Macaca mulatta: one gene and its partner. The protein of the gene in region 1 binds, or shares a complex with, the protein of each later gene. Links are inferred from orthologs where the notes say so. Each region holds a gene or a part of one and is shown on either strand. Other genes may lie near its edges. The genes, in order: APAF1 and CASP9.

Region 1 (3,816 bases):
GAATTGATATAGAGGTTCTTAGTTACTATGAATAAACACATTGTTTAAAAAAAAACCACTTGTATGAAAGGTAATGTTCTTTTAGGTTGCAACATTTGAAATTGCTAGTTTTATAGGTAAAAAATGGTTACATATCATCGTTACTGTATGATGCATTCTAATGCTAACCTGAGCTCAGTTCTAGTTTGGTTTTGTTGCTTAAAGACTGAGTTGGAAAATCCCATTACTTGGATAGTAATGGTCCCCCTTTTTTTTTTTAAGGCACTCAGTAAGTGGTGGCTGAACCTTTTATGGTAGGATCTGTAATTTTAATATGTTCTGATTTAGGGTTTGAGGAGAAAGAAGTCTCTAATTTTTTTTTTCCGTATTTGAATCAGCATATTGAGAAAAGAGTGTAGCAAAGAGGAAGACTCATTTTCCTAAACCTAGCTATCTATTTGTTTAAAAAAATTTTTAATTTGGTAGATTTTAAAAGACACTGGTGTGATTATCTTTTTAAAAGGAAGCTTAAAATAAGTGTCATTAGTGATTAATTTTTTTTTTTTAATTAGGTCTCTGTTGATCTTGGATGATGTTTGGGACTCTTGGGTGTTGAAAGCTTTTGACAATCAGTGTCAGATTCTTCTTACAACCAGAGACAAGAGTGTTACAGATTCAGTAATGGGTAAGATTATTCATTAACTTTTTAGTACCTTTATATTTAATTCAATTACATTTAAATATGTGGCATACCAAATTACTTACTTTGTCTTGTGATTTTTGTTTGCAGGTCCTAAATATGTAGTCCCTGTGGAGAGTTCCTTAGGAAAAGAAAAAGGACTTGAAATTTTATCCCTTTTTGTTAATATGAAGAAAGCAGATTTGCCAGAACAAGCTCATAGTATTATAAAAGAATGTAAAGGTATGGTTATTTATTTTGTTTATGAGGAGGTTATAGGGAGTTATATAATTTCCCTTTTGTAAATTAAGCTAACAAATGTGATAACTTAGCACATGAACATCCAAGAACTTTTCTGGGAGATTTAGTATTTTAGGTTCTTCTCTGATATCTTAAATGGATACATGATGTTATGGTATTTATTTATTCATTAAAATAATATTTACTATCTACCCACAGTGTGTTAGAGACCACATTAGCGAGAGAAGTGAGACACAGATGTGACCTCTGCTGTCAGAGTTAAAAATATAGTGAGAATCAGATTTAAAACTTGTATTTGCTTGGGATTTTATAAAAATAGTATTCTAATTTGGTAAGTTAAAACTGGTGTCTTAATTTGCATTTTTCGTTAGTGAAGTTAAACTTTTTACTTGTTTATTGAATATGTTTTAAGAAATTATCCTTGACTTTAAGAAATTATCCTTGACTCACTTTTCTTTTTTGATATAAGCATTTTTAACTTATTTCTAAATACTCTAAAAATTGAAACTATTAGCTCTTTGTCATATTTTTACAAGTATTATTTCCCAGTAAAACAGTTTTTTAATGTAAAATTTATATATAGGATCTCGCTATGTTGCCCAGGCTGGTCTTGAACTACTTGCCTCAAATGATCCTCCTACCTTAGCCTCCCAAAGCGCTGGGACTACAGGCATGAGTCACCATGTCCAGCCTGTTTCCCAGTTTTTTGTGTACTTTTTATTTGTTGTATTCTTTTGACATATAGAAGCTTAAAATTTTATACAGTCAAATCTATCAACTCTTAAAATTATTTCTTTCATTGTTGCTATGCTTGGAAATACCTTCTTTTTCTTCTTTTTCTTTTTTTTTCTCTTTTGAGACGGAATCTCACTCTGTCGTCCAGGCTGGAGTGCAGTGGCGTGATCTTGGCTCACTGCAACTTCTGCCTCCCAGGTTCAAGCAGTTCTTCTGCCTCAGCCTCTCGAGTATCTAGAACTACAGGCATGTGCCACCATGCCCGGCTAATTTTTATATTTTCAGTAGAGACGAGGTTTTGCCATGTTGGTCAGGCTGGTCTCAAACTCCTGACCTCAGGTGATTGCCTGCCTCGGCCTCCCAAAGTGCTGGGATTATAGGCATGAGCTACCATACCTGGCCACCTTATTTTTCATTTTGCCATCAAATAGAGACACAGTTTTGTTTGTTTATTTATTTATTTTTTGAGACTGAGTCTCACTCTGTCGCCCAGACTTCGGTGCAGTGGCGTGATCTCTGCTCACTGCAACCTCTGCTGCCCAGGTTCAAGTGATCCTCCTGCCTCAGCCTCCTAATAGCTGGGATTACAGGCATGTGCCACTGCACCCAGCTAATTTTTGTAGTTTTAGTAGAGACGGGGTTTCACCATCGTGGCCAGGGTAGTCTTGAACTTCTGACCTCGTGATCCACCTGCCTCGGCCACCCAAAGTGCTGGGATTACAGGCCTGAGCCACCACACCTGGCCAGTTTTGTTTATTTTTGAAGAAATCTTACACTTAGGAAAAATGCTTGATTTGTAGTTATTACAAAGGGTGATGCATGTCCATTTTGAAAATGTGTGAAACTATAAAGAAAAAAATAGAAATTATCCATAATCTGATAATTATTAGCATCATGAGAGTATTGCCTCCAGTCTTTTAGAACAAAGATTTTAAAAATTGAGATTATGTATACATAGTTTTGGATCTTGCCCTTATTTTTGAAGAGCCAGGGTCTTGCTCTGTCACCCAGGCTGGAGTGCAGTGACAAGATCACAGCTCACCGCAGGCTTGAATGTCTCGTCTTAAGCAATCCTCCTGCCCCTGCCTCCTGAATAGCTGGGACTGCAGATACTCACCACCTACCTGGGTAATTTTTAATTTTTTTTGTAGGGATAGGGTCTCACTATGTTGCCCAGGCAGGTCTCAAACTTCTGCCCTCAAGCAATCCTCCCACCTCAGTCTCCTGAAGTGCTAAAACTAAGACGCATGTCACCACACCCAGCTGGACCTTACCCTTTTTTTTTTTTCTTTTGAGACGGAGTCTCGCTCTATTGTCCAGGCTGGAGCACAGTGGCGTGATCTTGGCTCACTGCAAGCTCCGCCTCCCGGGTTCACGCCATTCTCCTGCCTCAGCCTCCTGAGTAGCTGGGACTACAGGTGCCCACCACCATGCCCCGCTAATTTTTTTGTATTTTTAGTAGAGGCGAGGTTTCACCACGTTAGCCAGGCTAGTCTTGATCCCCTGACTTTGTGATCTGCCCGCCTTGGCCTCCCGAAGTGCTGGGATTACAGGTGTGAGCCACTGCGCCTGGCTGACCTTACCCTTTTTATATATCTTGAGCATTTTCCCATGTTGTTAAATATTTTTTTGAAAAAAATTTACCAGTGGCATAATATTGATATATCTTAATTTATTCAACCACTTCTCTGTTATTGGACATTGTTTACATTATTTAAGATTTTTTTCACCGTTCTAAGTATGCTGTGATGAATATCCTTAAATTTAATCATTCTTTTTTTTTTTTTTTATTTAAGACAGGCTCTCACACTGTTTCCCAGGCTGGGATGCAGTGGTGCCATCATGGCTCACTGTAGCCTCAGCCTCCTGGACTGAAGCAATCCTCCTACCTCAGCCTCCTAAGTAGCTGGTACTATAGGCACGTACCACCACACCTGGCTGATATTTCTAATTTTTATTTTTAGTAGAGACAAGGTCTCATTATGTTGCTCAGGCTGGCATATATATATATATATATATATATATATATATATATATATATATATATATATATGTATATGTATTTTTTTTTTTGTAACGACATCTTAGCCAGATTTGATCTATGTTATTTTGACTTAATAATCAGGAACTTATTAAATTAAATCTTATTTCTAATTTTTTTG
Region 2 (3,816 bases), on another chromosome or scaffold:
CTGGGAAGGGCTTTTCCTTTGGTCCTTTCTCTCATAATGTGGTCTCTAGAGCTCACGAGGAATGTGGACTCCCAGGCCCTACCCTGGACCTCTTCATTCCGAGTCTGCCCAGTAACAAGGTTCCCAGGTGATTTCTGTGCACTTAGGTTTGAGCTGAATTGATTTAAAGCAGCCACTTTCAGCATTGAGCTGCCTCAGTCAGAGGGGCCTGGAGGACCAGACTGCTGATTAGGAGGTCTGGGTGGGGCCCGGGAATTGCATTTCTTACACGTTCCCAAGCCATATCGATGCTGCTGCTGCAGGGGCCAAACTTTGAGAACCACTGGTCTAGAGGCCACAGCCAGCACTCTCCAGGCACACTGTCTGGCCCCTAGAGGCACATGAGTTTGAGATGAGACCCCTGGAATAGATGCTGACTAGGGTCTTTCCAGAACCAACCTGCTCTGTCTCAATCAGCCTCATGCCCCTGGCTTTGACCTTCCAAATCCTTGGCCCCCACAAAACTTCTGAACAGGCTGTTGGATTCCTACTCCAACTTCTTGGTTTTGTAACCAGGGTTCTTGGTCTTCTAGGCCAGCCACCTGCAGTTCCCAGGGGCTGTCTACGGCACAGATGGATGCCCTGTGTCGGTCGAGAGGATTGTGAACATCTTCAATGGGACCAGCTGCCCCAGCCTGGGAGGGAAGCCCAAGCTCTTTTTCATCCAGGCCTGTGGTGGGGGTAAGCAGCTCCTTGGCCTCCCACTGGGTGGGTCTGATGAACAGGGAGCCACCACCTGCTTCTTTCTCCAGCCTGCCCCTCACAGAGCCCACGAGGTCTCTCCAGGCAGTCAGAGGGTACCACACGTGGTCCGTTTTTGGCAGCACCTCTGCCTGGCTGGAGCAGGCCCCGCTCTGTCGGCTCTGTAGAGGTTGGAGTCTTCAGTTTCATGGCACAGTGGCATCATGGGCTCGTGTAACTTTGGCAGCTTCAATTCCAGAGACTTGGCAAAAAAGAAACTAAACAGAAGAGAGAGGAGAAACCTCTTTTTATTTTTCTTGTCACCATTCCCCTGACCTCCATCAACCAAACCCCGTTTCCACTATCCCAGAGAAAGGGTGGCCACAGCTAAACTGCACGGAGAAACCAAAGAATTTAATTATTGGAATTTTCAAAAGCGTAGTTGTGGGGGTTTGAGGAATGTTTAGGGATTACTTGAGCTGGGCACAGTGTCTCATGCCCAACAGTTTGGGAGGCCAAGGCAGGAGAATTGCTTGAGCCAGGAGTTCGAGACCCGCCTAGGCAACACAGCGAGACCCTGTCTCTATTTTTGTTTTGTTTTTTAAAGAATTACTTGGATTATTTGTAGTTTTGCTATATGCTCTGATTTTAAACTTAACTCCTACTACAGTGTTACCTGATTTTCTTATAAAAAAGAGGGAAGAGAGGGAAACATGGGGATTCCTGGCTTGTGGGTCATGACAGGAATATCAGGGAGCACTAGAAATTCTGTCCCAGGGAGTCCCCTCTGCCCTAGACTCTCCACAGACTGGGACATTCAGAACGTATATCAGTTCCTTGCCTCCAGCCTGATCTGCCAGAGAAGCAGGCACTGTTACACCATAGTGCTGTCCAGCTTGTCCAGCTGTGACGTGGGCACCTGTGGTGTATTTCTCCTGCGCACATCCAACTGCCCCATCCCTATTCCACGTTGGCAGAGTTGGGTGGAGGCTACCTAGGAGAGCAGCCTCTGGTCACATCATTCATCCAGTAGGTGTTTACTGAGCACCAGCTGTATATACCAGGCTGTGTGTTAGGTGCTGGGGATAGGGGAAAACAGAGTTTCAGTCTCCTGGAATTTATAATTTGACATGAACTGTATTAAATCACTGTCATAACCCATGCCCATAACTTGACCACAAGTGATTGAGAACACTTGATTAAACCCTGGATCGGCTACTGACCTGTCTATCACATAATCCTAGGCCAGTTCATCTCTAGACATCTCAGCAAACGGGGAAAATAACAGAACCCACTCCCAAGCTCAGGTGATCCTCCCACCTCAGCCTCCTGAGTAGCTGGGGCTACAGCTGCCCACTACCACGCCCAGCTGATTTTTCTTTTTTTTTTTTTTGTAGAGACAGGGTTTTGCCATGTTGCCCAGGCTGGTCTTGAACTCCTGGGTTCAAGTGATCTGCCCACTTCGGCCTCCCAGAGTGCTGGGATTATAGGCATGAGCCACTGTGCCCGGGCAACTTTAATAATATTTAATGCACTAATTGGTGTGTGTACAGTGACTGGTTCATTTTAATAACTGAAAACCCAGACTGCTCCCCACTCCCACCCCGGAAGACCCAGTGACACATAAGAGCCCCCCACCCCACTGCCGCCAGCACAGTTGCCTCAGGACAGCAGTAATAGGAAGCAAGGAAGGCTGCCACTCTCGGGGCTATAGAAACCCTGCTCTGCCTCACCTCCTGTCTTGTCCATAGTGTGTGGTCCAGCAATGTTCTTCCTCTGGAGCCTGCGCTCCCTCTTTCTCGTATGAATCAAATGAAAGACAGAAAGGGCAAGGGAATTAGGAATGCAGGCTGAGCGGGCATACCTGCTTTCTGGACGGTTAGCTGTTCTTGTGCTCCTCCCATGCCCCATCCAGTCTCAGTCTCAACAGCGGAGGGCCTTTGTCACTTGAATATCTGCTGTCACTCTTAGGACTCAGTAGCAGGGCTTCCAAGGGCTTTGGTGACCTGGCCCCTGCCATTTCACCTCCCCCAGCCTGACATGCTCCAAGTCCCCCAGCATGGCCCAGCCTTCACAGGATGTCCAGGCTGTTGCTTGCTCTTCTACCTGATCCCCTGGCTAACTCTGTTTTTAAAATTCATTTTTACTTATTTTGTTTTAGAGATGGGGGTCTCACTATATTGCCCAGGCTAGTCTTGAACTATTGGGCTCAAGTGATACTCCCACCTCTGCCTCCCAAAGTGCTGGGATCACAGGCATGAGCCATCGTGCCTGGCACCTGGCTGACTCTTAATCATCCATCCTTCTGGTTACAATTTATTGTCACCACCTACAGAAGGTCTTCCCTAAACACCCCCTTTCTTGGCCAAAGTCAGGGTTAGCTGGCCTTTGTGCTCCTGCAGCCTCTGTCCCTCCCCTGCCATAGCACTGTCTCATTGTATTGAGCTAGGTCTGTCCCCTGGTCAGCTCCGAGTAGAGGGCAAGGCCTACCCCACAGCCAGGCCCCCAGCCTGGCACAGAGCCCACAGTCCCGTTGCACCTCATGTGAATTCTAATTTGAATTTAAAGGAGAACCATATAAAAGCATCTATGTGGTTCATGCCTGTAATCCCAACAGTTTGGGAGGCCGAGGTGGGAGGATCTCTTGAGACGAGGACTTTGAGACCAGTCTCTATAACAAATTTTGAAACATTAGCCAGGTGTGGTGGTGTGTGCCTATGGTCCCAGCTACTTGGGATGTTTAGGCAGGAAGATTGCTTGGGCCCTGGATGTCGAGGCTACAGTGAGCCATGTTTGCCTTATTGCACTCCGGCCTGGGTGACAGAGTGAGACCCTGTCTCTAAAAAAAAAAAAAACAAAACCAAAAAAAACTATGAGCCAAATTTGGCATAATGTAGATTTCCATCATTAAAACAAAAGTCAGAAAACAGCAAGATTTCAAAGCCAGCATGCAGTGATTAAGATGCCCATTTGGAGCTGGGTTCCTGCTTTGCCTCCGCAGGCTGCGTGACCTGGTGCTGTTACCACATGGTGGCGCCACGTCAGCTGAGAGCAGAAATAGAATGGTCTCCGTTCTCCACCAGTGCCTGGCGAGGT

What was found.
Region 2: the proteins of APAF1 (region 1) and CASP9 are in contact, whole or in part, in a crystal structure (PDB 4RHW), measured with the Homo sapiens proteins. The link is inferred for Macaca mulatta from reciprocal best matches to the Homo sapiens genes APAF1 and CASP9. Residues at the interface, in NP_863651.1 of Homo sapiens: Thr22, Ser23, Tyr24, Met26, Asp27, Ile30, Ser31, Ile37, Glu40, Glu41, Arg44; in NP_001220.2 of Homo sapiens: Asp23, Trp26, Asp27, Leu30, Arg36, Pro37, His38, Glu41, Gln44, Arg45.

Annotation. Positions count from the first base shown.
Region 1 is NC_133416.1:105,957,847-105,961,662, forward strand, and holds part of APAF1 (apoptotic protease-activating factor 1), read left to right. Parts: intron 1-551; coding exon 552-664; intron 665-769; coding exon 770-901; intron 902-3,816. UniProt on the Homo sapiens protein: Oligomeric Apaf-1 mediates the cytochrome c-dependent autocatalytic activation of pro-caspase-9 (Apaf-3), leading to the activation of caspase-3 and apoptosis. This activation requires ATP. Isoform 6 is less effective in inducing apoptosis.
Region 2 is NC_133406.1:225,535,195-225,539,010, forward strand, and holds part of CASP9 (caspase-9), read left to right. Parts: exon of another isoform or gene 1-572; coding exon 573-720; exon of another isoform or gene 721-998; intron 999-2,453; exon of another isoform or gene 2,454-3,816. UniProt on the Homo sapiens protein: Involved in the activation cascade of caspases responsible for apoptosis execution. Binding of caspase-9 to Apaf-1 leads to activation of the protease which then cleaves and activates effector caspases caspase-3 (CASP3) or caspase-7 (CASP7).